Tamandua tetradactyla: one gene and its partners. The protein of the gene in region 2 interacts with the protein of the main gene of each other region in a biochemical or structural test. Links are inferred from orthologs where the notes say so. Each region holds a gene or a part of one and is shown on either strand. Other genes may lie near its edges.

The links. The genes of interacting proteins can lie anywhere in the genome.
Region 1: the proteins of HTRA2 (region 2) and LATS1 form a complex in vitro, tested with the Homo sapiens proteins (2 studies listed by BioGRID, with this or other methods). The link is inferred for Tamandua tetradactyla from reciprocal best matches to the Homo sapiens genes HTRA2 and LATS1.
Region 3: of the proteins of HTRA2 (region 2) and MAPK12, one has a biochemical effect on the other in vitro, tested with the Homo sapiens proteins (2 studies listed by BioGRID and IntAct, with this or other methods). The link is inferred for Tamandua tetradactyla from reciprocal best matches to the Homo sapiens genes HTRA2 and MAPK12.
Region 4: of the proteins of HTRA2 (region 2) and CSN2, one has a biochemical effect on the other in vitro, tested with the Homo sapiens proteins (2 studies listed by BioGRID). The link is inferred for Tamandua tetradactyla from reciprocal best matches to the Homo sapiens genes HTRA2 and CSN2.

The regions. Positions count from the first base shown.
Region 1 is NC_135328.1:141,250,540-141,258,535, reverse strand, and holds the start of LATS1 (serine/threonine-protein kinase LATS1), read left to right. Parts: upstream 1-4,979; 5' UTR 4,980-5,210; exon of another isoform or gene 5,211-5,526; intron 5,527-7,996. UniProt on the Homo sapiens protein: Negative regulator of YAP1 in the Hippo signaling pathway that plays a pivotal role in organ size control and tumor suppression by restricting proliferation and promoting apoptosis.
Region 2 is NC_135343.1:48,419,264-48,426,364, forward strand, and holds the start of HTRA2 (serine protease HTRA2, mitochondrial), read left to right. Parts: upstream 1-4,092; 5' UTR 4,093-4,165; coding exon 4,166-4,665; intron 4,666-4,756; coding exon 4,757-4,961; intron 4,962-5,063; coding exon 5,064-5,258; intron 5,259-5,460; coding exon 5,461-5,493; intron 5,494-5,703; coding exon 5,704-5,809; intron 5,810-5,969; coding exon 5,970-6,039; intron 6,040-6,751; coding exon 6,752-6,847; intron 6,848-6,952; coding exon 6,953-7,101. Other genes in the region: lipid droplet-regulating VLDL assembly factor AUP1, read right to left, coding at 953-989, 1,095-1,213, 1,403-1,518, 1,634-1,753, 1,888-1,990, 2,071-2,137, 2,392-2,465, 2,560-2,632 and 4 more.
Region 3 is NC_135333.1:45,615,216-45,622,515, reverse strand, and holds the start of MAPK12 (mitogen-activated protein kinase 12), read left to right. Parts: upstream 1-4,283; 5' UTR 4,284-4,432; coding exon 4,433-4,557; intron 4,558-4,629; coding exon 4,630-4,759; intron 4,760-6,790; coding exon 6,791-6,849; intron 6,850-7,300. Other genes in the region: MAPK11 (mitogen-activated protein kinase 11), read left to right, coding at 1-104, 385-456, 676-755, 1,316-1,489, 1,601-2,209. UniProt on the Homo sapiens protein: Serine/threonine kinase which acts as an essential component of the MAP kinase signal transduction pathway.
Region 4 is NC_135345.1:71,316,498-71,324,121, forward strand, and holds the start of CSN2 (beta-casein), read right to left. Parts: upstream 3,018-7,624; 5' UTR 2,885-3,017; intron 1,895-2,884; 5' UTR 1,785-1,894; intron 1-1,784. UniProt on the Homo sapiens protein: Important role in determination of the surface properties of the casein micelles.

The DNA.
Region 1 (7,996 bases), on a different chromosome or scaffold from region 2:
AAGTGATTAAGAATGTAGGCACGGGTTTCAGACAGCCTGTACTTATGTCTTGCTTTCCTCACTTGCTGTGTATAAGTGCTTAAAAACCTATTTCATGAAAGCTGGTACTTGGGCAGATATTTGCACACTGATGTTCATTGCAGCATTATTCACAATTGCCAAAAGTTGGAAACAACCCAAATGTCTATCAACAGATTAATGGATAAATAAAATGTGGTATATCCACACAGTGCAATATTATTGAGCCGTGAAAAGAAGTGAAGTGCATGGTACAATACTGATGAATTTGGAGAAATCAGGTTGAATGAAATAATCCAGGCTCAAAAGGACAAATATTGTATGATCTCGCTTATATTAAATATTTAGGATAAACTCATAGAGACAGAAGGTGGAACAGTGGTTCCAAGGCGTGGCAGGGAGGGGGATGGGGAGTTATTGCTAAATGAGTATGAGTTTTGGTTTATGATGATGATAATAGTGTGTTTGAAATAGTGGTGAAAGTTATACAGTATCATCAGTGTACTTAATGTCAAAGAATTGTCCACTTAAAATGGTTAAAATGATTGTAACATGTATTTTACCACAACCAAAAATAAATTTTAAAAACCTATTTCATATTTTAGTTAAATATATATTGCACATCTACCATATGTCAGGCAGTGCCTGGAGCTAGAATATAGCAATGTACAGTACAACTCTTTCTACCTTCAGGGAGCTTACAGTTCAGAAGAGAGATTAGCAGAAAGCTGCTATTTGGAGTATCTGTCTACCTACTGTCTTTAATCTTTGGAGGCTTTATGAGAATGATTTATGGGCATGTCCCTTATCACTTCATTTGAGAAAAGAGATTAATAAAATCCTGATGATCAATTTAGCACATTATTTCTGTTACTCAGGATTCTAGATGAGGGGTCATCCTATTTGAGACAAGTCTTGAGAAAATGAACAAGAAAAATCACAGGAATCAATTGTCTAACAAAGAACTGGAAACCTTGACTACACTTGCACAAATTAAGACATCTGATGTATAATGTGATGGGACCCTACTCTTCTGACCTTGATTTCCACAACCTGTGTGATTCCAAATCCTTCCCTTAGATCGTATGAGTTGGGGAAGGTTGATATGCTCAGGACCACATTGGTCTCCACACTTCATAGATGTGGGCTACCTCTTCCTTGGTACAAGCACCCAAGCATAAATTTGGCCCCCATTATCTATTGCTAATGACAAAATGAAACCACAACCACCCCCCATAAAACATTGAAGGGTTTTCTATAACAGCAAAAGAAAAACCTTCAAATGCAATGTCAGTCTTTGCCATTCTTACATGTCCAGCATCCCTTTCATGCTGCACAGTTACAGCCACTTTCCATCTTGTCAGTTGTACCTTCTCTCCTGATCATTCCTTGTCTCCTTTCCCTGATCTTCTCCCCTACTACTTCATAGTAGTAAATCTTCTCATAGTCCCACACAGGGCAATGCACTGCACTCCTTGAATTATCTAAAAATTTTTCTAAGGACAATGGTTTACAAATATAGGCTCCTTTAGGCTTAAAGAAAACCAAGGAGTTTAAGTGAAGAAGATTCTTAGATTGGTGACAGAGGTGACAAGACTCTGGGGGCAATAGGATCTTACAGATGTATACTGGTGATGGTACCACAATATTGTGATTGCTACTAATCTACCGAATAACACACCTGAAAGTAGTTAAAATGGGAAATTTTGAGTTATGTATGTTGCTACAATGAAAAGCTAAAAAAAAAATTAGACTTCTTTTCCTGATGTTAAAGTAACTAGTGGCGACTGTATCCAGAAATTCAAATGAAAAAATGCTTTTAAAATAAAAGATTAAGTTCCAATCTGTGAAAGTTAGGGGATATGACCGGAGGTGGGCCACTTAATAGCCCTAGGTGTTATTTTCTTCAAATGGAGGATTAAATAACATTTAGGTTCCTTTCGGCCCTAAAATTATATGAATTATATGAACTAATATATTCACATACCTGCTTGTCTTACTCAGGATTGTGTATCTGAATATTTTATTGCAGTAATATATGTACAACTCAACATTTCCCATTTTAACCACTTTCAGAGGTGCAATTCAGTAGTAACATTCACAATATTGTGTTACTATCACCAATATTCATTACCCCAACTTTTTAAACACCTCAAACAGAACCTCTGCTCTCATTAAGCAATAACTCTCTCTTCCCCTCCCTACCCCCTGGTAATCTATAATCTATTATCTGTCTCTATAAAATTTGCTTCTTTTAGGTATTGTATATAAGTAGGATCATACAATATTTGTCTTTTTGTGTCTGGCTTATTTCACTCAATGTCTTCAGGGTTCACCTGTGTTCTAGCACATATAGCACATATCAGAATTTCATTACTTTTTACAGTTGAAAAAGATCCCATTATATGTATATACATTTTGTTTATCCATTCATCTGTTGATGGACACATCCACCTTTTGGCTACCTTTGGGGATAACCCTACTATGAACTTTAGTGTACAAGTATCTGTTCAAGTCAGATACTTCCAGTTTTTGGGATTGTGCTGGTTTGAAGCTCTTACGTACCACAGAAAAGACCATGTCTTTTAATCCATTCTTGTAGGTATGGACCTATTGTGGGTGGGACCTTTTTGTTAGGTTATTTCAATTGAGATGTGACACACCCCATTCAAGGTGGGTCTTGATCCTTTTACTAGAGTTCTTTGTGACAGGATAAAAGACAGAAAAAGAAAAAGCCCAGGGATCTCATAGAGAAACACTCAGAGCTTGGAGAGAAAAACCCCCAGAGGACCTAAGAGGACCCACAGAGGAAGCCACTAGAACCAGACCTGAAGGCAACGAAACCTGGGACACTGGCCATGTGCCTTCCCATCTGACAGAGGTGTCTCAGATGCTGGCAGCACAGAGATACCTGTGCTCTGCGTTAACTGGGATGTTTTCTGCCGTAATTGGGATATTTTCATGACCTAAGAACTGTAAATTGTAAATTAATAAATCCTCATTGTAAATGTCAACCCATTTCTGGTATATATTGCAGCATAGCAAACTGACACAGGAGTATATACCAAGAAGTGGAATTGCTGGGTCATATGCTAGCTTATTTTCTTAAAACAAAAATTTTACTCTAACAGAAAAAGGAACAAAGGAGATATTTGAAAATGCTATTTGTATATATTTTCTAGGGCTGGAACTGGCAAGGCTTTGTTCACAAAGGGTGGACAGTGCCTCCAAACATCACAAACCCAGTGACTATTAAGCCTGAATTATGTACCGCAACCATATACAAGTTCTTCATCTTAGTCTACATTCCTGTAGCTGTGAACACATTGTAAACAAAACTTTAAGATGTTATTTTAATTAAGGTGTGAGGAACTGACACAGGGTGGGCCTTAATCCATATTACTAGAAGCTTTATAAAGAGAAGTTAGAGAAGCTCAGAGAAGGTCATAGAGCAGCCAGGAGCCAGAAGCTAGCAGTCAGCAGAAACCCAAGGAGCAGACACAAGGAGAGATCATCACGTGACAGGAGGCAGAGATGCAAGTCAAGGAACCCCAAGGATTGTGGCAACTACACAATTTGGGAAAAGAAAGCATGGTCTTGCTCCTGCCTTGAGTGTGGACTTCTAGCCTTACAAACTGTGAGCCAATAAATTCCTGTTGCTAAGCCAACACATTGTGTGGTATTTGTCATAGCAGCCTGGTTGTGGTTCATGTGCGGACTTGGTCAGGTGATGGTGCCCAGTTGTGTGGTCAAGCAAGTACTGGCCTAACCATTATTCAAAAACATTTCCTGGCTGGTTTATAAACCAAAAGACTGGTTTATTAAATCATCAGTCAGTTGACTGCATCTGTGGCTGATTACACCTACAATCAACTAAAGGAGTATCTTCCACAATGAGAAAATCCAATCAGTTGAAGCCTTTTAATTTAAAGCAATCAGTTGAAGATTTTTAAGGGAGAAGAGAGAACCTTCATTTCTTCAGCAAGCCTCTCCAGAGGCTTTGTCGGAGTGGCCTGTTATCAACTGGCCCTATGGAATTTGGACTCATGCATGTCTCACAGGTGCATGAAACACTTTTATAAAATTTCATATTTATAGATATTTCATTTTGGTTCTGTTTCTCTAAATAACCCAAATAGATTGGCAAACTAAGACACCCACTGATCCTATTCCAAACTTTCAATTCAACTTAACAGGAAATAAAACTCACATCCCTCACTCTTATTCTAATTATAGCAATATTACCTCTCTTTCTATCTAAATGGTGGACAAAGATCTAAAAGCTGTTCAACAATTTGCCGTGATCAAGGAAGGTATTATTTGGCTGATTTCAGAAAATACATATTCTTGAAGCTCAAAGGTGTATTAAGGGTAAAGTATGATAAACAAATCAAAGCCTCTAGAAATCCTGAATCTGATGTCCACAGCGAGGTTTCAGAATGCAACTCACTGCTGTTTCCTTCTTCAGAGAATTAAGCTCCTGAAGACCGATCCATAGAAAGAACTCTACAGATAAAAGAGAAAGATCGAAATAGAAAGGGGTAGGCATGGGCGGGGGAAGGGCCTTGTCCCACAAACGGGGCGAATCATTGGACCGAAAAAGGCAGGCGCCACATGGGCGAAGCTCACTGACTTGCAGCAGAGAGGCGCCGGCCGAAATCTGGAGTTCCGGGTCCAGGAAGACTCATCCAGGACCCGGGCTCAGGGGTAGGGCCCGGGATCGGAGGTCCATAGGGCCCGGGTGCTGGTTCCCAAGGTCAGAAGGTCTAGGGATCCGGGGTCACCGGGTCTTAAGGGTTTGGTCGGGGACCCGAGTCCTGGGAACCTGAAGACCGGACCGGGGTCCACCGGCATCGCGCTCGCTCCAGTGGAGTCTGGCTCTAGGGTGCCTGCCAGCGAGATCCCGCCAGACCTGACCGCGCAAGCGACGCCGGGAAATGCCCACATCCGGGAAACCTGCGGCGGCGGCGACGGAGTGGAAGGCAAAATGGCGACGGTGGTGGTGGCGCTAGTGGCCTGGTGCTGAGCGGAAAACCAGGTGCCCGCGACTTCGCGACGGGTGCTGCCCGCCTCTCCTTGTCTGCTCCCTCTTTTCCTCCCGGGATATTTGGGGCCCCGCAACGCGCTCCGGCAGCCTCGGTGCCCGCCACGGGCCCGTGGCCGCTGTCCAGGAGTCCCGCTCTCCCCTGCAGGTAGGTCTGGGGCGGTATAGCGGGTTCAGCTTCCTCTCCTCCCAAGCCCTAGTCTATGGGGTTGTGGCCGCCGGTCTACGCGGTCCCCGCTAGCTTGGGTCCAGGGGCTGCTGCAGGCTGGCAAACCGAAGGCCGGAGCCGGCCTGTGCGGGCCGAACCCGCCTCTGGCGATGGTCGGAACCGATCCTTGCCCCGGGAACCCGCGCCTGGCCTGCAGGGAGAGCCTCCAGGCCTTGGGCCTCCGAGGAGCCGCTCTGCCGGGCAGAGCCTGCGGTGCCGGTGGCAGCCGGCGAACTGTCAGCCTGCGCTCTCTTCCGCCCACCCCCACGCATGAGTCCCGCGTGTCTGTCTGTCGTGACCAGGGTGGAAGGTCAAGAGAAAACAGTAAAAGAGAAGAAGTTATTCTAAATCTAGTGAAAAGTAAGTATAGTCTCACTCAAAAAAAAAAAAAAAAATACTGTTGTATCACTTCAGCTTTTAAAATGGATTTGAGTGCCCGGGAACATGAAACTTGTCAGGCTTTTACAGATTGTTTATGGAAGGTTAAAAATGTTTCATTTCCTCCAGGAGAAAGAAATTATAATTGAAATGGATATTCTGTACTACGATACTAAGGTTTGTAATTGTTTTAACTCAGAATACTTCTGTCCTTTAATACATTGACAGGTAAAATGGGCTCGTTGATTTCCTAAGGCAGGGGAGGAATTTGACTGATTTAACAGTAAAAGAAGTAGCATTGTGCTCTTCTGATCGGCTGCTAAGGGAGAAACTAGATCATGGCCCATGCGGTGGAAAGAACATTCTTTTTAATCCTACCTATTGATTGAATGTGCTTTGCTATTCTCTAAAAGCAAGTAAAAAAATTCTTCTACTAACATTTTTTTTGTACGATATCGGGATTCCAACCAATATTTAATTTTTGTGTGTAATGCTAGTCCCTGTTCTAAATTATAGTGTTGGAACAGTCAGAACTCTGGCTACTTAGTTTTATCATTCTAAATGTTATATTTAGGTCAATGAGGGATTTTTGTAAATCACAAGATTTTTGTTAGGTAAGAATGGCAATCAGTTTTTCAGTATGAAGATAAATATAGTGATTATTTTCAGTTTCAATCATTAATTCTTAGAAAATGACTCAAAATGTCAGTATTGCATAAATTCAAACAACTAAGACGATGAAGACTTATGCTGCTAAGAAAGAAGCAGCACATATTACTGCTGATATTCTCATAACTGATCGATTTGAAAAATTGAGAAAGGCCATGTTTTTATAATCCTAGTGCAACCCAATGTAACTCTTGGAAATCTTATTATGTAACAGTTCCAGTTTTATTCCTTAGCATTGGCAAGATACTCAACAGTATTTGTTTGCATTTACTGATGTTTGTACTTTTGATGAAAGTCTGAACTTTCAAGGAAGTGGAGACTTTAAGACTGTTCATTCTAACCAATTTAAGTAACCCATCTGTGAATGTGCGAGTCATGACCCTACCCTCAGGAAGCTCAGGATGTATAAAATAACCTTGGGCTGGGCCAGGTTATGTGGAGTTTATATGTAGAGTCCAGCTGGCTATAAGATCTTGGGCAGGCCACTTTGCTTCTCTGGATCCCTTTCCTCATCTGAAAATGTTATTTCCAGTATACCCTATACTTTGTGAATGTGTGATCTAGTTTGAAAAATAAAACAAGAACATGAATAGAACAAAAAACATGGTCATATTTATTTAAACTCATGTAAAGTGCATTTGGAGTTCAGAGGAGAATAACAGTTGGGAGTTCAGTGAAAGCTTTAGTGAAAAAGGAAGTTTTTGGATGGGGCCTTGAGGATTGGGTATAATTTCTTTAAAAAGAAATATGGCAGGATGCTACAGTTTGGTACCATTTAGTCCCATGGGTTTGAAATCCAGAAACAAGTGTAATCTTTTGTGATTTTAAAATGACTGTTAAAGGAAAGTTTGTTTTGTTCCTTTGAATTTGGTGGGGAGGAGTCTGCTGGAGAGCTTTGCCCTGGTGTTTAATGCTTATTGTGAGAAGTGGAACCACAAAACCATAGAGCATGTAAAGTGCCCCAAAATTAAAATGGAAGATTTAATTTAGTACAATTCATTTACCATTATTTATAAATATCAGTAAGTTGCACTGCTATTAGTAATTAAAAATAAAAGCAATTGGTCATAGTTAAAAAATAAATGGTAGGGTTCATGACCAAAAGGGGGAAAAGAGTTGTAACAAAATAAGGTATCAGTGGCTGAGAGAGTTCAGATAGAGTCAAGAGGCTATTCTGGAGGTTACTCTTACACAAGCTTCACCTAGATATTGTTATTTACCATGGTTTGCCAAACCCCAACTAAAACCATTCCTACCAGCCCTAAAAATCACCCAGGGCTTTATTGGAGATTCTACAAAGATTCCATGCATTATGAATACTTTTCAGAAACCTACAACCTCCAGAGGGATTCCTAGGCCAGATAAGTTCTAAAACCCAGAGGAACTAGCCTCTCCAAGAACATCAACTAGTTCCATACCCCTATCCCATATTATCAACACCCCTTTCCAACATGAGAAACTTAGAATGGGCATAGCCCAAATACCCCTAAAGATTGGGAGAATGATCAAAGGAGAAGGTGGAATTTTAACAGAGAAGGTAGAATGAGTATGATTGCTGAATCATTACATTGATATTTCTTTTAGTCTCCCAGTGTCTTGGAGCAGCTAGAAGGAAGAACCTAAAATTGTGGAACTGTAACCCATACCAAACTCTGGAATCGGTTCTATAACTAATTGTT
Region 2 (7,101 bases):
CTGCCCGGTATTCCAGGCCTGCCAAGAAACAATGCTGGGTATTAGAGTGTTCAAGTAAGGTCTATCGAAAGTGGACTATTACCCTGTAGCCAGGCAATAGAAATCTTGTGACTACTGCAGGTGTCCTCAAGGGCAGCAGGAATTATGAGATCTGTAACCTGTGGCAAGGTCCCCAGGGAAAAGGGATAAAGGATATGGGTAGGGGAGGAAGTAATTGGGGCAGCAGGGCCATAGGATCCTGAATTCAAACCTGTTTGTAGCTCTGAGAAGATCAGGATGGCAGCCAGTTCCAGACCCACCCAAGCAGTCACTACCAACCTTGACTCACGAGAAGTACAAAGGTAAATTCCGGCTCCACCCCGGGACTCCTCTCAGACACGAATCCTCATGTATGGTTTTGGGGTGGGGCCATTTGCTCCACCTTATTTAACCTAGTAAGGAGCCTATAGAAAACAGTCTTCAGCTACCACACTGAGTACATGTAAGCTCTATGGATGACGTGCATTGTGCTAGTGAAAGGCATCCTGGGCCTTGGAGTTCTTCTGCCGCTGATCTCCCCTCACTCCCCCAGCCCCCAAACCTGGGCTAAACACACAAGCTAGGGTCCAGTTGTTGCTGGGTCTTCAGTTCAGTTACAGTTCCATAAAACCACTCATCTCCTGGTAGCGAGGAGGTGATTTCAGACAATTCCATTCTGACTAGCCCCCATAAACTCACAAGGAGGCCCTCACCCTATGGCCCCCCAACCAAGGGAAAAGGAACCTGCTCAGGGGGCTTTTCAGACTCAGAGAAGCAACAGAGACCTTGAGTGAAAACCCTGAATTTAATGTGACATTGGGGGAGCCCCATCCCTCCCTTTATACCACCCAACCATATGGCCTGTTGTGAGTTGGGTGAGGGCTGCCCCCAGATTCCGCCCTGCGGCTCTGGGTGCCATCCTGTTCCTCTGCGCTCAGTCAGCCTCCTGGGCCCGTCTCTCTGTGAATCTCCTGGGGGACACAGAGAGAAGACATCATATGGGCTTTGCCATCTTAGCTCCATAATTCCTATCTTCAACCCACCCCTTCCTATCCATTGTCTTCTATATCCCTTACCTTCTCGCGTATTCATACAATGCCTGCTTGCGCTCCTGCAAGCTCTCCTGCCGGGCCCAGGAGGACTTGGCAAATGTTAGGGCTGTGGGCTGAGGGGTCACCGGGCTAGAGCTGGGGAACTGAGGTGATCACAATGTCAGAGGGCTTGCGAAGTCATCATCATTAAATGCGCATCAAGTGCCTACTTTGCAAGAGAGGCACCGTGCTAGGGTCTCAGGATAAAAAAAGAGACTTCAGGGCTAGGGAGTATGTAGACTGCTCCACCCTACTCCCAGTCTCAGACCTGACCCTCGTCTCCTTGGTCTCACCTTGGGAGCAGAGGCTGTGGGAAGGGACTGGGTCCCCTCAGTGATGTCTTCAGGCATGAAGGCCACGGCCCCCTCAAGCAGATTAGTGATGGTCAAGTCCACACAGCCAGTCCTGGCTGGGGAGAAGGGAAGAGAGAAGAGGGGAATCTGTTCCCTGTTTACCTTCTCCCCTCACAACCCACTTTTCTTCTCTCTGCCTGTTTCCCCATGTGAGGCTACCCTTTCCCATACCCAGGTCTCTCTGGATGACACCCAGTGGCACATGGGGCAAAACTTCCTTGACTCTCTGAGCCAGAGTTGCCAGTTGCGCATCAGGAGAAGGGCCAGGGGAGGGAGGGAAAGAAGACTGGACTGCAAAAAATAAATCAGAAACATGATGAGTGGAAAACTAGGAGGAAGGAGAGGCTGACTAGGACAGGAATAGGGCAGAAATTACAGAAGGTCTAAAAAAAAAAAAAAAAGCTCTGTGTATAGAGTCCACACACCTGACTGGGGGCGTAATCGGGGATGTCTTTGTCGCTTCATGTGCTCTGCTTTGTCTGCTGGAGTGAGCCGGGTACCTGTCTGGCCCAATTCCTTTGCCACCAACTAGGAGAATTGGAAGTTTGAAAGTGTTAGAATCTGAGGCCTCAAACTTTCCTCCCCCTCCCCCAGAGAGACCCTACCACCTGTTGCACACGGAGGGCAAACTCCTCATTCCCCTCCCCCAGCTGACGATGAAGAGGACGGAGCCACCTGTAAAAATAAAACAAACAATCCAGGGCCATGCTGGGGGCACCCGGGGTAAGGCTGTCATCTCCTCCCTACTCTTGGTACCTCTTTTCATGGAACAGTGGTGGTGAGGGGGGTAGATAGTAAATACTTTGTGTTGCCTCTGTGGTGGAACCTTGATATTAAAAGATCTGCAAATGGACAGGGCAGAGCCAGCTACTTCCTTGACCTTGAGGTGAGCTTCTCCCCAGCCACCAAAAAGTGAGGACGGTTAGTACCTTACTTGATACACCGTGAAAGGGACGAAAAGTGACCACAGCAGTTCTGAGACCCAGGAGGCATCTGACACCGTCTGAGGGAGGGTATGATGTGAGGCCTAAGCCAGGGCCACGGGTGGAAAAGTTCCCCTCCAAGCCCCAGAGATTCTCTGTCCAACAAACACTCACCACAGAGACCAGGGGTCTCTGAACTTGCAGGGCAAGAGGTTGTACCACATCCTGGATAGAAAATGGCCAGGAACTAAAAGAGAAATGAGAGAGAAGGATGGGCATCCAATCAGCCTAGTCAGCAGCTTATATGTAACTTAAAAAGGAAAACTGTCAAACCATATGACTAGATAAAGTGGGGTATAAAGGGATTCAGGGGACGGAACTAAAAGTGGACAGAAAGGAAATAAACTAGAGATGGGAGAGGGAAGGGATGAAGAAGAAAAAGTTGCGAAAATCCAAGGGGCCCCAAATCTGACCATCTACCCAGCTGAAGCCCAATATCTGTGCTTACCCACCTGAATCGTAGGAGCCCCTCACGGCCATTGGTGGCCTCCTCCTCAGGGAAGAGCAGCAGAGGGATGGGGGGAACCCTCGTGGAAGCACAGTATCTTCTGAGTGACTCCACCAACTCCCCCTGCCCATCCATCTCCATGAAGCCCCGAGACCAGCACACAAAACTGGGGGGACTATTGAGCAGAGGCTGGGAACAGAGAAGAAAGCAAGAATGGAGAAGAATGATGAAAACTGACAAGAGGGGTAGAGAAGCGGGGTTGGGGTAAAGTTCAGTATCTCGTGGTTCCCAGGGGAAACTAGAGCCAGCAGGTGGAGCGGCCGAGGGGAGCTTTGGGCCCCGGGGAACCGCTCTGGGAGACTCGCGGCTTCGTTCCCCCCCTACACACACTCACGGTGCTACAGGTCGTGAGCAGGTTAACTATGTTGTGGTCGAAAGGTGTCACGTGGTTGGAAATGAGCACCCTGACGCGATGATCCCGGAGTCCGGAGTCCTCCTGCCGGACTACCAGCCCCAACACCGCACACATGGTCCGCACCACGAACCTGGGGACACAGGCGGTGGTGACTGCGCGGCCTCAGGCCGGGCCCAGCCCTGACCCTCCCCGAGCGCCCGGGTCGGAACCTGCGGAGGACGCTGTCTGGCAGCGCGCAGCTGACCAGGAAGACGTGGATGCCGAGAAAGAGGCGCAGGACAAGGAGGCAGAACCCTACTGGTGCGTAGAGCAGCAGTGCGAGGAGCAAGAAGCCGTCACCCGGGAGCCTGAGGACGAAAGGCGGGCTGAGCGGGCGTCGAGGGCCGAGAGGAGGCGCAAGCCGTCTACTTCCCGCTGGGGTTCTTACCGGTGCGAGTCAAAGAGCCGCTCCGGCCCCGGTGCTGAGGGAGGCTCCATCACTGCTGCTTTAGGGGTGCCCGGCCACCGCCGCCGCCGCCATCTTCGTGCCCGGCCGCAGGGGCTCCTGGGAAGGCGGGGCCTTTGGGCCTCGGCCCAGGGTGCCGGGACCCGAAATCGGATCGAGTCGCCCCGGAAGGGCTAGCGGTTCCAGCATGCCCCGCGGCCTCCTTGGCCACCTCAGAACTCGCGCCCCGCGGGGACCACAGTTCCCGGCATTCGCGGGGTGGGGGCGGAGCCGGCCTCCTGGCCGCTGGGTACTGGCGCGCATTTCTGGAGGACTTCAGGTACCGGCGTGCCCCGCGTCCCGCTGTCCGCTTGCTCGCGTCCAGGGCACCGCCTCTGAGCCGGGCGGTCAGGAGACAGCCGAGGCGGAGCTCATGGCTGCGCTGAGGGCGGGGCGCGGTGTGGGCCAGAGCCTCTGGAGATGGCGGGCTTTGGGGGGTACTCGCTGGGGAACGGGACCCGTGTTGACCCCTGACCTCCGGGCCTTGCTGACGTCAGGAACTCCCGACGTTCGGGCCCGACTGACGTATGAGCGTCTCAATCCCCCGGCCCCGTCGTCGGCTGGGGACCCTGGACCTTGGGCATGTTTGACTTCGGGGGCTCCGGAATCCCGCGTGCGGCTGACCGCCGGGACTCCCGATCCCCAGAAGGCCTCAGAGACCCCCGGAACACGCCCGCGCGTGTGGCTGGCGGTGGCGCTGGGGGCCGGGGGAGCGGTGTTGTTGTTGTTATGGAGCGGGGGGCGAGGCCCCCAGGCGGTCTTAGCTGCGGTCCCTGGCCCGCCTCCCACTTCTCCCCGGAGCCAGTATAACTTCATTGCAGATGTGGTGGAGAAGACGGCACCTGCCGTTGTCTATATCGAGATCTTGGGCCGGTAACGGTGGGGTAGACCGGGAGGCCCCGGAGGGGTGGACAGGCAGGAGGGGTCAAAGCCTCCTCACATATGTGCTGCACCCCCATCCTAGGCACCCTTTCTCTGGCCGCGAGGTCCCTATCTCAAACGGCTCAGGATTCGTGGTGGCTGCGGATGGGCTCATCGTTACCAACGCCCATGTAGTGGCTGATAGACGTCGGGTCCGTGTGAGACTGCCCAGTGGTGACACGTATGAGGCTATGGTCACAGCTGTGGACCCCGTGGCGGACATCGCCACGCTCAGGATTCAGACCAAGGTGGGGGTCGAATTGGGACCCTCTCAAGGTGGGAGACTGTCTGGAACTTTGGATTTGGTTGCTTCTCCAGCTGACAGTTCTCTCTGGCCCCTTCTGCGGTAGGAACCTCTCCCCACGCTGCCCCTGGGCCGCTCAGCCGAGGTTCGGCAAGGGGAGTTTGTTGTCGCCATGGGAAGTCCCTTTGCACTGCAGAACACGATCACATCGGGCATTGTCAGCTCTGCTCAGCGCCCAGCCAGAGACCTGGGACTCCCCCAAACCAATGTGGAATACATCCAGACTGATGCAGCTATTGACGTGGGTTCTCATGCGAGAGAAAGGAGAAACTGGGTTGGAGGTGGGGAGACTGTGGTTCAGATTCAGGGACTGGGCTGCAAGAATGTTGCCACTCATTTATGGGCTAGGAAAGGATAAAATTTGGAGAGAGTGTCTACATCCTGGTTATGCCCCCAGGCTCAGGGTCCCAGGATCTCTTTCATGTTTTCTCCTTGTCCTGCAGTTTGGAAACTCTGGAGGTCCCCTGGTTAACCTGGTGAGTTGGACATCTTCTTAGAATGCCTGTCCCAGGTCAGTGTGGGGAGGGTGGGTTTTCCCTAATTCAAGGATGTTTGGTTAAGTTTCTTGTGTGCTGCCTCCCAGGATCCAAGCAGATCTCCCCAACATTCCCTGCTACCCTTGGTCCAGTGTCCCCCCAACCTGGACTATTTTGGGGGGCTATGGATCAGGGCCTGTGTCCCTACAGGATGGGGAGGTGATTGGGGTGAACACCATGAAGGTCACAGCTGGAATCTCCTTTGCCATCCCTTCTGATCGCCTTCGAGAATTTCTGCATCGTGGGGAAAAGAAGAGTGAGCCTGCTTTAGTGGGGAAGGAGATTCCTTTAAGTGGTGGGCAGAGCATAAGGAGGGGCTTTTATTGGGACTTGATTGAGAGGCGTCAGTTGGGAGGAGAGAGGGGGTAGGAAAGATAGCTGGGTTTCGTTGTGACTCATTTGTCCTTCTATCATAGATTCCTGGTTTGAAATCAGTGGGTCCCAGCGCCGCTACATTGGGGTGATGATGCTGACTCTGACTCCCAGGTAGGAGTGTTAGGGATAGTGACAGGGAGGACCACCGGTGTAATCAGTATTGGGCTAGGGGCACCCCTACTGGGCCTTGTTCCTCATTGCTGCCTTTTATCTAAGCCACCTCACATTTGGAGCTATCAGAACAGCTGTCCCTCTCATCACCTTGACTTTCTCATCCTGCTTCATTTGTACTGCTGCCACTGTATTGTTTTTGTCCTGCTCCTGCTTTGATTTAAAGCATTTGATCCATTAACCTGGTGTTTAAAGGCCATTTTCCATCTGTCTTATTTCAGCCTTCCAGACTTAGCTCCTGTTACTTTCTGTATGAATACTCTATTGCAGCCAACCTGGTTTCCTGCTCCCATGTTTTTATTTGTACTTTTCTTACTTTGTATGGTTAAATATCAGACCCGTCCTTCAAGGCTCAGCTCAAGTCTTGCTCTCCCCTTAGTCTTAGTCTTGCTCTCCCCTTAAGTCTCTTAGGACTTAAGAATGACATTAATGTCAATGATTTAACACTGTGTGTCATTTGGAACTAGTTATCTTTTATGTACATATTAGCTTTCCTAACTGCTAGAAGGCAGAAAGTGACCTGCCTTTGTATCTGTGGTACCTGGCCTGTGTCCTGTCTGTATGACTGTCAGTGTGTTGATGAGAGACATGCGGTGAACCCAGAGGGGGAGGGTGCAGCATGTGGATAACACAGTGACCTGTATCCTTATAGCATTCTGGCTGAACTACAGCTTCGAGAGCCAAGCTTTCCTGATGTTCAGCATGGCGTCCTCATCCATAAAGTCATCCTGGGCTCCCCTGCACACCGGTGAGGGAGAGGCTGTGCCAGGAGGGGAGGGTGGGTGAGCTGTGGGGCTGCCCTTGGATGGGGCTGCACACTCCCTCCCTTTTCTCTCTCCATCTTTCTCCCTAGGGCTGGTCTGCGGCCGGGTGATGTAATCTTGGCCATTGGGGAACAGCTAGTACAAAATGCTGAAGATGTTTATGAAGCTGTTCGAACCCAATCCCAGCTGGCAGTGCAGATCCGACGGGGACCAGAAACACTGACCCTGTATGTGACCC
Region 3 (7,300 bases), on a different chromosome or scaffold from region 2:
CGGGCTCGCCCGCCAGGCGGATGAGGAGATGACTGGCTATGTGGCCACGCGCTGGTACCGGGCCCCAGAAATCATGCTCAACTGGATGCACTACAACCAGACAGGTGGCCGTGGGGCCTGCGTGGGGCATCCATGTCCTGTGGGGGCCATGGCCTGGGGAGGGTGGCCATGCACCCCAGGGGGTCCTTCCCGGTGATGGGGTGAGGCAGGGCTGGGGTCAGCATGCACAAACAGACCTACAGGGGGCCCTCTGCGTTGAGGGGGGAGGCTCCAGTGGGCCTTCCCACACCAGGTTGAGCCCCATTGTGGGTGAGGGTCACCGGGCTGCCGCCCCGGGAGGAGGGGGGCCAAGACTGATGGCAGCCTGTGCCCTGACCCCCACAGTCGACATCTGGTCGGTGGGCTGCATCATGGCCGAGCTGCTGCAGGGAAAGGCCCTCTTTCCAGGAAACGACTGTATCCTTGGCCCCGCAGGGGTTGGGGGGTGTTGGAGCCAGGACCTCCCAGTTGTGGGTGGGCAGGGCGACAGGCAGTCTCAGGCCCTCCCTGTCTGGCTGTTCCCCCTGGCTCATTGGCCGGGGAGAGGAGCAGGCTCTGGGCAGCACCCATGGCTTCTGCCCTGGGGGGCTTGGGCAGGCCCCTGCTGGCCAGTGGGTGTTTCCTGAGCCGAGGCAGACATCGACCAGCTAAAACGCATCATGGAGGTGGTGGGGACCCCCAGCCCCGAGGTTCTGGCCAAGATATCCTCGGAACACGTGAGTGGGTGCCCCCTCCCCCCCCGCCCTCTGCGGACTAAGGCCCCGGGCACTCTGGGGGACACCATGGGAAGCAGGCTCTGTATGGGGAGTGCAGGGCACTGCCAGAGGAGCCAAGGCAGGTGCCCTGCCCCTTTAAGGGATACGGCAGGGCAGGGGACACAGCGAGGGCACAGTCCTGACACTGGTAGCAGTGGTTTGGCCAGGGGCAGTGGGGTGGAGGAGGGGACAGGAGGGTTAGGTGAGGGGCTACGGTCAGAGGGGTTAAGGGGCAGGTCTCTGGCTGCCCCTGTGCCAGCCAGGGCTGGGTAGTGCCTGGGTCTGGGGTCTTCTCTGGAGTCCCTGCTCTGTCCGGGGCCTGCGGTAGAGGGTGTGTGGTCCCCTCAGGCCCTCCCCCATGTGCCCCCAGGCCCGGACATACATCCAGTCCCTGCCCTCCATGCCCCAGAAGGACCTCGGGAGCCTCTTCCACGGAGCCAACCCCCTGGGTGAGGATGGACCGGGACTGGGTGGGGCCCTCCACTGGCCGGAGGCGGGGCTGACCCTCCCGCGGCCCACAGCTGTGGACCTCCTGGGAAGGATGCTGGTGCTGGACAGTGAGCAGCGGCTCAGCGCGGCCGAGGCCCTGGCCCATGCCTACTTCAGCCAGTACCACGACCCCGAGGATGAGCCTGAGGCCGAACCCTACGATGAGAGCGCGGAGGCTGCTGAGCGCTCAGTGGAAGAGTGGAAGGGTGCGCAGGGGTGGAGGCTGGGACAGGCAGAGCTGGGCAGCGAGGGGAGCAGGCACCGCACTGGGCCTAGACTGGGCCGTCTGTGCTGATCCTTTCCCCATTGCCCCCCAGAGCTCACCTACCAGGAAGTCCTCAGCTTCAAACCCCCAGACCCCCCACAGCCACCCAAGAGCCTGGAGATTGAGCAGTAAGGGGAGCCCACCTGCCACCTCCACACTGCTAGAGGGGCCTAAGCCTGCACCCTGCTCATCCTGGGACTCTGTGACGGGTGCCACCCTGCAGCCCTGGCCCAGCAGCCCACATACCTGGCCTGGGGCCTACTTGCCTGCTCACCGTGCCCAGGGGGTCCTGCACACACATGTGTCGGCAACAAGTATGTGCCCGTGTCCTTCACCCCCGCCCCCAGCCATCTGGGTCTCCCTCTGGATTTCACAATGGGGGATTTGCATACCATGGGGCTGCCCCCCAGGCTGGTGTCTGTCTGTGCCCTGTTCTCTGTGTACAGTGGGAGTTCGCCAGGACCCCCTGGACTCAAAGGGATGGTTCCAGGGATCAGAGCTGCTCAGGCCAAAGGGGGTCTGCCCCGGGAGTGCTGAGACCACCTGTGCCCCCCAGGCTGGGCAGGGTTTCCCTGGTGGCTGGCCAGGCTGGGACACTACAGGCTTCACGTCAGAAAAGCTGGGGCCCGTGTGTTCACCTGTGCTGTCTGGGCACATGTGAATCTGTGGGTGCTAGGAGCCCATGACCAGGAAGAGGCCAGAGTTGGGTTGCTCTGCACCTCCCCACATGCTGGGTACCCATGAAGGGCTCCTTGGGCCGAGGGCACCCACTTGAGCAGATGCCAGGGCTTTCCTTTGTGGGTGCATAGAACCACAGCAGATTGCTGAGCAAGGGAGCATTGCAGCCAAGGAGCTGAGGCAAGGGAGGGCCCGTATCTGTGCTGCAATCTCAAGCCACCAGGTTGGGCAGAGCACACAGGTGCACACATGGACGTGACCTTCACATGAATGCCCCGGCCCATGGACTTTGGACAGAGCTGATGAAGAAGCCTTGCCGGCCCTCTACCTCCCCTACCCTCATGGCCCTTCAGCTGGGGTTCTGGGGTCGCCTTGTCCCCCTCCTCCCACAATAGAACTGACCGAGCATCCTCTGTGGGTAGGCCCCTGCCTGGAGACTGGGTGGTAACCTCCTACCCTGGGGGTACCTAGGGGGGACTGGATGTGAAGTGCCTGTACACAGGGGCGCTCAATAAAGGGCTTCCCTCATGCCCCACCAGTGTCCGACATGCTAGGCCCCCTGCCTTTGCTGTCTCCACCTCTGGGGGGCTCACCATGGGCTGCACCCACCCTGGCCTGGCCCACAGGATACCAGGCAGTCATGCAGCCTGGTGAGAGAACAGCTGGGGCACCGCTAGAGGCAAATGCTTCCTCTCCTGGGGGCCAGGCCTTTCCCTTCTGGCTAATGCAGACTCCGGGGGGTGGGGGTGGTGTAGAGAAAAGAAGGCTGCTTTCAACCTTGAACTCTGCAGGCCACTCTCACCTGAGCCTACTCCCACTGCTTTTTGCAGCTCCCACCTGGGGGGCTGTAGGCAGGATCCTATAGGCCTAGGCACCAAGGCTGCAGGGCTTTAGGTACCTGGGAAGCTCTAGAGACATGGCTGGCCAAGGCCAGTAGGGGTGGGGCGGGGGAAGGGGCCCTGGTCTGAAGGAGCAAGGGCCCCTATGAGTGCTGGAACCCTGGGCTCCACCCCAGGGAGTAAGCCAGGGGGGCTTCCTGGAGGCAGAGTACCCCACTCAGCCCAGGGCATGGGGTGCAGGTGGCTTTGTGGGTGGCATGTGCCATGCTCCTGGCTGGGCTGGCTGTGGGCTGCTCTTGCCATCAGCTGGCTGTGCATGTGCCAGGGTCACCGACCCCAAGGCCAGGTGTAAAGCTGGTCTGGCCATGCCCAAGGCTGCTGAGCTGCTGATTCACGGTTGGCAGGCGGGGCCCCAAAAGGCAGGGAAGGGGGCACTTGGGATCCTGCCACCCACCACCAATCAGCTTTGAGGGGACCCCCAGGCTCCATCCTCAGGAGCACCCAGACCCATGACAGGACTATGCCTACACTGAGAGGTCAGGGCCTGAGAGGCCCCCCACCCCTGGGGCTTGGGCAAGCCTTCAGGGAGGGAGAGAAGCCAGGTTGGACAGATAGGACAAGCAGGGGGCAGGTGTGTGTGGGGGGAGCAGGCAAAGGGACTAACAGTGGCCTTGGGATGGGGGAAGAGGTGGAGGGAGGAGTGGGAGCCAGGGTGCAGAAGGGCCGAGGGGGGATGGGAGGCTTGGGGACAGGGGTTGAAGGATGGACACTGGGGTGGCCACCTGAGAAGTCTGGGAGACAGAACCAATCCCGCATATGTTAGGGGGGCTGCAGGCAAGACCTAATCGCAGATGGGTGGACCCGCCTGGGGGTAGGGCATCCTAGGGGGTGCGGTGGAGACCCCCTGCCAGGAGATTCAGGGTGGGGGTAGGGGGCTGGGTCTGGGAGGCTCAGGACAGTGACCAGGAGTTGGGGACAGAAGTTGGGCAGCATAGGCCCGGCGGCGCACTGGGTGTGGGCAGTAAAGAGGAGACCAGAGCGCTGCGGCCCCTGGGGACCCGGGCATCCGGGGCGCCAGCCCAGTGCGGAGCCAGCGGCTTTCCGAGTGTCCCGCCGCGCCGCCTCCTCGCGGGGCCGGGGCTGGGCCATCCCCCATCGCCTCGGGTTTCCGCAGGGCGGGCCGTCACGTGCGCCGGGCCCCGGGGCGGGTTGGTCGCGGGCCGGGGTGGGGCAGCGCGGCAGGAGCCGGGCAGGGGTCGGGCCGGAGTCGGCGGTGCGGGAGCCCGGAGGGCGGCGACCCCAAAGGGGACAGCAGAGGGCCGCCGGGCCCCGGTTCCGGGAGCGCGGCGCCCGGCGTCCGGGCAGCGATGACCTCCCCGCCGCCCACCCGCAAGGGCTTTTACCGCCAGGAGGTGACCAAGACCGAGTGGGAGGTGCGCGCCGAGTACCGCGACCTGCAGCCCGTGGGCTCCGGCGCCTATGGCGCGGTGTGGTGAGCGCGGGCGCGGCGCGGGGCGGGGCGGGGGCGAGAGGCCCGGCCGAGGCTGAGCCGCCCACCCCGCAGCTCGGCCGTGGACAGCCGCACCGGCGCCAGGGTGGCCATCAAGAAGCTGTACCGGCCCTTCCAGTCGGAGCTGTTCGCCAAGCGCGCCTACCGCGAGCTGCGCCTCCTCAAGCACATGCGCCACGAGAACGTGAGTCGGGGGGGTCGCACCCGGCCCCGCCCAGCTCGCCCCGCCCCCCGGAGTGCCGCCTGCGGGAAGGCCGGCCCTCCCCCCGGCCTTCCTGTGGGGTGGGTGTAGGTGGGGGCCCAGGAGACATTGGCAGACTAGGGACCTTTCTGGCGTACACCGTTTTCCCCCACGCCTAGGCCTCCTTGTTTGGGGTAGAGCCTGCATGGATTCCCTTTCGCGGCAGCCCCCTGCCACCGCCGCTGTGACGGGTCTGGGCTCAGTTGGCCTTCCAGGTTTGCCCCCAAATCCTGCCTCCATTCCGGGAACCGTGGTGAGAGGAGTTGGGCACAGCACTTTTCCTGGAAGGGCCCCCCAGACTTCCCTTCAGCCTCCCCAGGCCCCTCTGTTCCGCCTGCCTCATAGTTCCTCCTTCTCCAAGTGGGACTGCACCTGTCCCAGCCCCCTGCAGAGCCTGGGGTCCCACTCAGGAGGGGCGCCCAGGATGCTGGCCAGGGCAGGGGTTGGGGTGCCTCCTCCTCACCCAGTCCAGGGTTTCATGGACAGGGTGGGGGGTGGACAGGTCCGGACTCCCCAGGGAAACCCCCCCACACCCCTGCCTTAAGTTCCGGGCTGAGAGCTGAGCACTGTGAGCTTTGGCTGGTCGCTATGTACATCAGTGCACCTGGGCCCTTGGTTCTGGCCACTGCCCGCTCTCCAGCCAAATACTTGTTCTCTGGGACTTCTGTCTCCACCCTGTGCCCTGGGGCACTCAGCCTCTGCCCTGAGCCACATCTGGGACGTGATCTTCATGGGGGCTGCCTCCCCCCCCCCCCCCCCCCCGTCCGTGAAACCCTGGGCTGGGTGAGGAGGAGGCACCCTAACTCCTGTCCTGGCCAGCTTCACCAGCACCCTTCCCGACCCGACTCGGACTCTCCGTTCGGCCCCTCCCAGGCCGGCACAGTGGACATGCCATCCACTGAGCCAGCAATCCCACCAGCCCTTTGGGCACCTGGCCCTCTCCCTAGGGCATCCTTCCCATAGCCGCGCAGCCCACCTGCTCTGTTCTACTCGCCTACAACCCCCTCCCTCCCTGCTGCTTGCTCTGTGTGGACCAAGGGGGCCTTTGTGGGCTCTGGGCTCCCCTCCCCCCAGGCCCTCCTCAGCTGGAACCCTCGATGGCTGCACATCTAGGTCTGCAGCCTCCAGCGGTCTCAAAGTCCCCTCTGGGACTCCTGCACTGGAGGTGGTCCCTTTCTGACAGCCCCCAGCACACCAGAGACCTAGCATTCCACCCTCCCCCCCCCACACTGGACCTGGCGGCTGCGGGGTCACTGTCTACACCTGCCTCATGTGGTCTATCCTGCACAGTGGCCTGAGGAGGTGGTGAGGGTCCCGCCCCTGCTTAAGGGCTTTCCAGGGCCACTTTTAGGGTTACCTGGACTGGAGGTCCTCCCTGCTCCTGACCCAGCCACCTGCCTCCCCTGTGTTACTCTAGCACATGGCAGGCTCCCCAGGGCCCGCTGGGCCTCTGCACCCCACCTGCCCTGCAACCTTGGTAGGCACCATCCTCACGAGCAGGCCGCCCTGGCCCCAGGTTACCTGTCTTCCATCGCCTCCCCAACCAGGGGCCCCGTGGGGCCGGCGGGCTGTGGGTCTCAGCCTGGGGAAGGACTGCAGTGCTCACAACCTGAGGGCTGCCCCACCCTGGGTCCCAGTGTCCATGGGCAGAGCAAGAAGGGGAGGCAGGACCAAGGGCTGACCCTGTTGTGCTTGGCCTGGAGCCAGCCAGACTTGACTTTCCCACCCCCACCCCCACCCCCGCACATCCCGGCTGTCACCATCCAGAAATAGCCCGAGGCTGTGGGCACGTGTGTCCCGGCCGGGGCTGCTTGGTGAGTGGGCAGTGTGGGGAGACAGGGACAGTGCGGGGGGTCCGGCCTGGAGCCAGTGCCAGCGGGGTAGAGGTGGGGAAGGGATTGGGTTGGGGAGCACCACGCCACAGCCCCTGCTGTCCACACACCTCAGTCCCCCTGCCCACCCCTCTTCCCCCAGGTAATCGGCCTGCTGGATGTGTTTACTCCTGATGAGACCCTGGATGACTTCACAGACTTGTGCGTGGCCAGCCAGGGGCTGGGCAGGGCTGGAGGGGTGTTGGGGAATCCCCTGGCATCACTTGGGGTGCTGGATTGGATAGGGACCCTGGCTCAAGGCAGGGACTGCTGCCAGCCCCCTCTCCCTGCAGTCCTGATGCACCCTCACCATCCATTCTGCCAGTGCCTCCCTAAAGCTTGGCCAGGCTTCCCAGGGCTGCTGGCACCCAGGCACTCCCCAGCACCCATGGTGTGGGCCTTGGCCTAGCACATGTGTTAACAGGCAGGCCCCGTGCTCAGGGCCCTGGTGCCAAGAGCCTGGCCCGAAATTGGAGCTGCTGACCTTTCTGGTGGGCAGGGAGGGGGCAGCAGGGAGGCCCCGTCTGCCTGGCCCGCTCCCCCAGGGCTCTCAGCCACAAGCCAGGGCTGGGCCCAGGAGGGCTCGGGAGGGCAGCAGATGGCAGGGTACAGG
Region 4 (7,624 bases), on a different chromosome or scaffold from region 2:
ATTTAACTAAAATTAAATAACAGCAAGATAGATGAAAGTTTCCTTAAATAATAAGAAATTAAATGACTTTTTTCTAAATAACCCATGGATCAAAATACAAAATCAAAGGATTTTGGAGGATATAGCTAAAGCAGTGCTAAGGGAATTTTTTAACAGGCAAGGATGACTTTATTCATAGTCACTAAGGGAAGGAAGAAGGGTAGAATTCAACTCTGAGGAAGGCATGGAGGTGCTTGAGTTTTATAGTTGAGTTAAGGGCAGTGAGAAAGTACCAGGGTGCCATCTGGGAAAGAAGAGAGAAGGAGGGCAGGACAGGGTTGATAATTCTGAATAACCAGTACTTGATATTCTCTTTTCTTTTTTTTCTACAGCTGGAGGTTTTGTTTGTTTGTTTTGCATTATTTTGTTGCTAAGGGAATCTTATAGCATCAAATACTTATGCCAGGAGAGAGATAGCTCCCTAATCAGTGACATAAGCATCATCTTAAGAAACCAGAAAAAGAAGAATATATTAAGGCCAAAACACTCAGAAGAAGTTAAGTAATAGAGATAAAACCAGATACCTATGAAACATAAAACCAATTGAGAAAATCAATGACATCAAATGGTACTTCTTTGAAAAGGTCAATAAAATCAATTCTAGACACTGATCAAAGACAAAAAAGAGAAAGATGGCACAAACTGCCAATATCAGAAATGAGAGAAAAGATACCACTACAGACCCTACGTGAATTAAATAGATAAGGGAATGTTAAGAACAATTTCACATCAATTAATTTGACAATATGGATGAAACAGACAAACTCCTTGAAAAACACAAACAACCAAAGCTCACACAGGAAGAAATAGACAACATGAATAGGTCTACATTTATTAAAGAAATTGAACACATCATTTTAAAATTTCCCACAGAAAAGCAAAGGCCTTGATGGCTTTACAGAGAAATCAAATCAGTATTTTAAAAAATAAATAACATCAACTCTACAGAAATTTTCCCAGAAAATATGAGGAGGGAACACTGCCCAACTCACTTTAAGGTGCCACCATTACCTTGATATCAAAATCAGACAAAGGCATTATAAAAGAAGGAAAAAAATTATACCTTATAAATATAAACTTAAAAATTCTTAATAAAATTTTAGCAAACCAAATCCAGCAACACATTAAAAAAATGACTGATCAAAGGAGGTTCATTCCAGGACTGCAATGTTAGCTTAACTTTCAAATCAAGGCAATCCACCATACTGAAAGATTAAAGCAAAAACCATGATCATCTCAAAGGACATAGAAAAAGCATTTGACACTATACTCATTCATGCCAAAATTAAAGATAGAAATGAATTTACTCAAACTAACAAAGAGCACCTTCAAAAAGACCTATGCCTGGCATCATACTGACACTTTCCCCTAAAATCACGAAAAGGGCATAGAAGCCTCTTACCACTTCTATTCAAAATTGTACTGAGGTTCTAACAGTGAATTAAGAAAATTTTTAAAAGTAAAAGCCACAAAGATTATTTTTTAAAATAATGCTTTATCATCTATGTAGAAATAACAAGGACTCTACAAAAAAAAAATCTTATTAGTTAACAAGGTCTAGGAGAAAAGATCTTTATATAGGAGATCATGTAAGTGAAAATAGCTGAGTAGAGAGCTTTAAAGACCCATCACTCCAAAGAAATATAGAGAAATGAAGCAAAACCTATCAGTTCAACTTTATTAGAATTCTTAAAAATAGTCAAAGGTTTAAAGCAACCAAGTAAATCAAGAAAAAGGCAACTTACAAATGGTTGGAAGACTTTGAGCATCTTACTTGCCCTTGCTTTACTCCACTTCCCAGCTGGGCAATGGTCTTGAAAATGACAGTTCATGTTCCCAGCATGGACCCTGGTCCCTGGTTCCAGAAGAAGAAAAGCAGATCTTATTCTCAAAAAAGTGTACTTGTCCTTTTTGACCTGTCTGGGAGCTTCCTGAAGTTCTGATACAAGGTGCTTGCCTTTGTTTCACCTAACAAGGAAATCTTTCAGGGCAGAAAAGTGACAACGCAGAGGACAATTCCCCCCAAAATTGTAAGTCAAATGAAAAATTCACTGCCATCTGGGACAAAAGAGTCCAGTTGAGGCAAAGGATAAGCAGGCCAAAAAGATGGGAGAGAAAATTGGGGCTAGAGAAGAGTTTCATTGGGAAATTAGAGCATAGAAAAGTGACCATACATACTAAGGAATTTACAAAGTCATGAGCATACCTAAGAAAGATGAATGCTCCAAAAAACAAAATACTTAAGACTAAGCTTTCACCTTTGCTGACTTCTAGGTTCAGTTAATTCAAAATGGATCATATATCTACAAGTTAAATAAAAAACTACAAAACTTCCAGAACAGAAAATCTAAGTGACCTGGTGTTTGGTGATGACTTTTAAGGTACACCACAAAAGCCATGTTCCATGAAAGAAAAAACTGATAAGCTGGACTATATTAAAATTTAAAGCTTCTGCTCTTCCAAAGACACTGTTAATAGAATGAAAAGACAAGCACAGGGTGAGAGAAAATCTCTGCAAAACACATATCTGAAAAGCACTTGTATCTAAAATACATAAAAACTCTTAAAACTCAGCAACAATTTTTAAAAACAATTCTAAAAAGGACAAAAGATCTGAGTGGATACCTCACCAAAGATGATACTGTTAAGAGAGAGCTGTCCTGCTGGTGTTGGGGCAAAGAATTAAAACAAGTCAAGGTGGGAAGATGGAGAGGTAGAAGTACTAGGAATCAGTCCCTCCACCAGAACAATGATCAAACAAGCCAGAACTGTTTGAATCAGCTAGAATACTGTACAGTATCCAGGAAAGAATAAGAGGAAGAAGCTGGAAAATTACAGTAAATACCTGTAAACGAGTCTCTCCACACAGTGGTTACCATCACCCATCACCCACTCTAGCAACATGCAACAGTCGGGTCCAGGCCCTTATGTAGCCTGCTGGTACCAGGGAAGGACAAAAATATCCACTGCCCCGAAGGTCTGTGCGAAGGTGGAACATGGGCCAATCACCAATAGCTGCTTTTGATGATCTATTTTGGATCACTAGGGCCCTGGCCCTGAGGGTGACCATTGTTCCAACCTGCCCCAGACAAAGGCCACAGAGGAAACTTAAGACAGTATGCTTCCTCAGAGCTCTAGAGGACAGCTGAAAGGCTGCATTTACTGGGCAGGGGCCCAGTCAATAGAGTGAAGCATAGGGGAGCCTTGTAAGAAGTTCCTGGCACCTTCCCTGGACCCTCTTTTAACCCTCCCCAGGGCAGTCTGTAGCTGGCAAGCTCACCATATGGGTTCCTGGCCTTATTCTGGCTGGGAAAGACTGACTTGGGAAAATCCTCCCTAGTGTCCCTGCCTCACCCCCACCCAGAATTTGGCTGCCAGGCAAAAGCAGCTTGAGACAATAAAAGTTCTGTAGGAAACAATTGAGTCAGAAGGCCTGGGCAAAGGATTACCTGTTTTAAGTCCAGCAGTACAATACACACAAGAGGATAAAGATCTGTTTTCTGGGAGGTACAAGAGCCATTCAAAGTCCTATAAAAAGGGGAAATCCAAAGGCCTCCAGGAAGCACAAGCCCAGGACAAGATACAGGCCCAGAAAAAGACAAGAAGGGCCCTGCACTTTGCATTCACCTTGGGCTGAACTTCGTGATATGTGAGTGCAGCTCTGATGAAGAACCAAACAACTCCAAGTCGGTTTGCAAAGACAGTGAAAAGTGCTTTTTGCTTACGTTTGCTCCATATTGTTACCTCTTGACACTCAAGAAAATCTCCATCATATCACCACCTGGTTACATACTCAAGAAACAGACATTTCAGGGAAAAAATCCCAGACTTAACATTTTAAAATATTAAAATATACAGTGCGCAACAAAACATTACATGACAAACAGAGACAAAGGAAATGACAGCCCATCCAAAAGAAGAGGATAAAAATCCAGAAAATATCAATGAAGAAAACCAGATTGTGGATATACTATAAAAACAGTATTTAAAAAATGATCTTCAATATGCTCAGGAGATGAAGGAAAATATTGAGAAAGAATTAAAGAATATCAGTATGCTGGTATGAAGCTACTGTGTATCCTGGAAAAGTCATGTTTTAATCCTGATTCAATCTTGTGGAGGAAGCCCTTTATTTTAATCTTGATTCAGTACTGTAGGGCTGAAACTTTTGATCAGATTATCTCCACAGAGATGTGGCATGCCCAAAAGGTCTATCAAAAGGTGTGACCTTTTAAGTAGGTGGAGTTGTGACTCTACCCATTCAAAGTGGGTCTGATTTGTTTACTAGAGGTCTTTAAAGGGGGTAATATTTCAAAGGACAGTTACTTCAGGACACAGATGTTTAGAGATGCTTGGAGTACCCATACACCTCCCTAGCTGACAGAGGTGTTCCATATCCATCAGCCTTCCTTGGATTAAGGTATCTTTGTCTGGATGCTTTAGTTTGTACATTTTTAAAGGCTTACAAGTATAAAATTATATGCTTAGAACTGTAAATTTGCAACTTATTAAATTTTCTTTTTAAAAGCCATTCCATTCCTGGCATATTGCATTCTAGCAGCTTAACAAGCTAATACAATCAGAAAAATGATGAACAAATAATATGAGAACCTCAGTAAAAAGAGAGAAGTTTTTAAAAGGAAACAAACAAGATAACTGGAGTTGAGAAGCAGAAAGGAAAAAGAATTATAAAAAGTGACAAAACCTAAGACATCTGTGGGACGCCATCAAGCATACCAATAAATACATCATGAAAGTCCCAGGAGAAGGAAAAAAAAAAAGAAAGAAAGAAGCAGGTGGAATATTCAAACAAATAATGACAGAAAAATTCCCAAACTTAATATGCACATCCAAGAAACCACCCCCCCAAAAAAAAACACAACACAGGATAAACATGAAGAAAAATAGGTCCCATCAAACTGTTAAATGCAAAAGACAAAGAAAAAGTTCTGAAGGCTGCAAGAGAAGAGCAGTGTATGCACAAGGAAACTTCAAGTAGATTAATTGCCAATTTCTCATTAGGAACCATGGAGGCAAAAAGGCACTGGGTCAAAATAATTAAAGTGCTGAAAGAAAATAACTGTCAATCAAGAATCTGATATGTGGCAAGACTTTCAAAAATGAGGGAGAGAGAAACAAAAGCTGAGGTAGTTCATCACCCCTAGACCTGCACTACAAGCAGTGTTAAAGGTTGTTCTTCAGGCTGGGAGGAAAGGACGGTAGACAACAGTTCAAAGCATTTGGGTGAATATAAACGCCAGTAATATTGTATTTTATTTTTTGGTAAGCAACTCCACTTCTTACTTCCCACAGTAGCTAACATACAAAGGCATAAAAAGTAATGGAAAATCTTAGTAAAAAAAAAAATAATTTTTACTACAATGTAAAAAGATATGATTCATAACCAGTACAAAAAAAAGGGAGGGGGACAGAGGGAGGGTGTAGGAATGGCATAGTAGTATACTACTGAAGTCAAGTTGCTATCAAATAAAATATGATTATTATATATTTCCGATGTTAGATTGTAACCCCATGGTAGCCACAAGGAAAATATATCCTTATACAAAAGAGAAGGGACTTAAAATGTTACAATAAAAAATACAATACAAAAAATAAATAAATAAATATTAAAGTAGACATTAACAGAAGAATTGAGGGACAAAAAAACAAATAAACCTTACAACAACTAAATGGCAGAAAAAAATTCTGAATTCTCAGGAGTGATTTTAAATGTAAACAGATTAAACACTCTAGTCAAAAGGCAGAAAATGACAGAAAAGATTTTTTAAAAACGTGACCCAACTATTTGCCATTTACAAGAGACTCACCTTAAGTTCATAGACATAAGTAAGTAGAAAGTGAAATAGTATACAATGGAAAAAGTATACAACGCAAGTAGGAACCAGAAGAGAGTTGAGGTAGTTCTACTAATATTAGATAAAACTGACTTTACATCAAAAACTGAGACACATATGCTAATTCACACTAATAAAGGGGACAATTCATAAGATATAGCAATTGCAAATATATATGCACCTAATAGAAAAGCCCCAAAATATATGAGGAAAATACTGATAGATCTGAAAGGAAGAATGAATATACACTTCCACATTAATAGTAGATCTAAATACACATTTTCACTAATGGTTAGAACATCTAGACAAATGATCAATAAGGAAATACAATACTGGAATGACACCCTAGATGTTATACACATATATAGAACAGTTCACCCAACAACAGTAGAGTACACATAATCCTCAAATGCAGATGAATCATTCTCCAGTGTAGACCACATCTTAGGTCATAAAATAAGTCTCAAAATGTTTCAATATTTCAAAAATATTGAAATCAGACAATGTACCTTCTCAAAGCACAATGGAATGAAACTAGAAATCAATAACAGAAGGTAAAATGGAATATTTAAAAATATGTGGAAATAAAGCAACTTAACCAATGAACTAAATAGAAAATTATAAAGGAAATTACCAAACATCTTCAGACAAATGAAAATTAAAGTACATTATACAAAAACTTAAGGGATGTAGCAAAGGGAGAGCTAAGAGTGAAAATTATACCTCTAAATATTTGTATTTTAAAAGAAGAAATATTTCAAATCAGGATGACCTAATCTCAAAACTGAAAAAAAAAAAATAGAAAAATAAAAGCATACTAAACCTAAAGCAAGCAGAATAAAAGAAATAAAAATTAAGGCAGACATAAAAAGAAACAGAGAACAAAAACCAACAAAGATTATCAACAAAATTAAAAATTGGTTCTTTGAAAAGATCAATAAAATTAACTAACCTTTTGCTAGACTGACAAAAGAAAAAAGAAAGAGGAAGCAAAGAATTAAAATCGGAAATGAAAAGGAGGTGGACTCTCCACCAACCCTGCTGTAACAAAAGGACTATCAGGGAATACTGTGAATAAATTAGATAACCTAGATGAAATAGACAAATTCCTAGAAACACACAAACTATCTACACTGATTAAGAAGAAATAGAGTAATCCAGACAAATTTCCTCATTTGCAGATGAGGGTTTGAGGTCCGGCTTAAGGGATGTTCGCCAAACCACCCAGTGGGTAAGAACTAGATCTGGGATGTGAACCAAGGTTTATTTAAACATCTACCCAGTCCGGGAAAACAAATGTAGCATTATTCTGTATCCTATAGGATAGCCAGAGACAGAACAGGGCAAAACACATTGACTGCTTTATTCCAACTCCTAGCATTTCCAAAATCTGCATGCTGGCTGCTCTCCCTCTGAGAGTTCTTTTAACTGGCAATTCTTGTCTAGAACACTGGAAAGTCAAGTATAGACTTTCAAGAAAGGGTTAGAGGATTATTACCTTAATCAACTTGACAATACTCCTCAAAAGACCTTCCTTCCTTTTCATGAGAATGAAACGGAGGCTAGTAAAAAATTGGAAATGACCCAGGATTCCTGAAATTAGGGATATGGTTCAATAAATGATGGTACATTAAGAACATAGAATACTAGGCAGTTGTTAAAATGATAACTATGAAGACTATAGAAATGAAAAAAATGCTATAAATATAAGAAATAAGAGAAAGAAATAA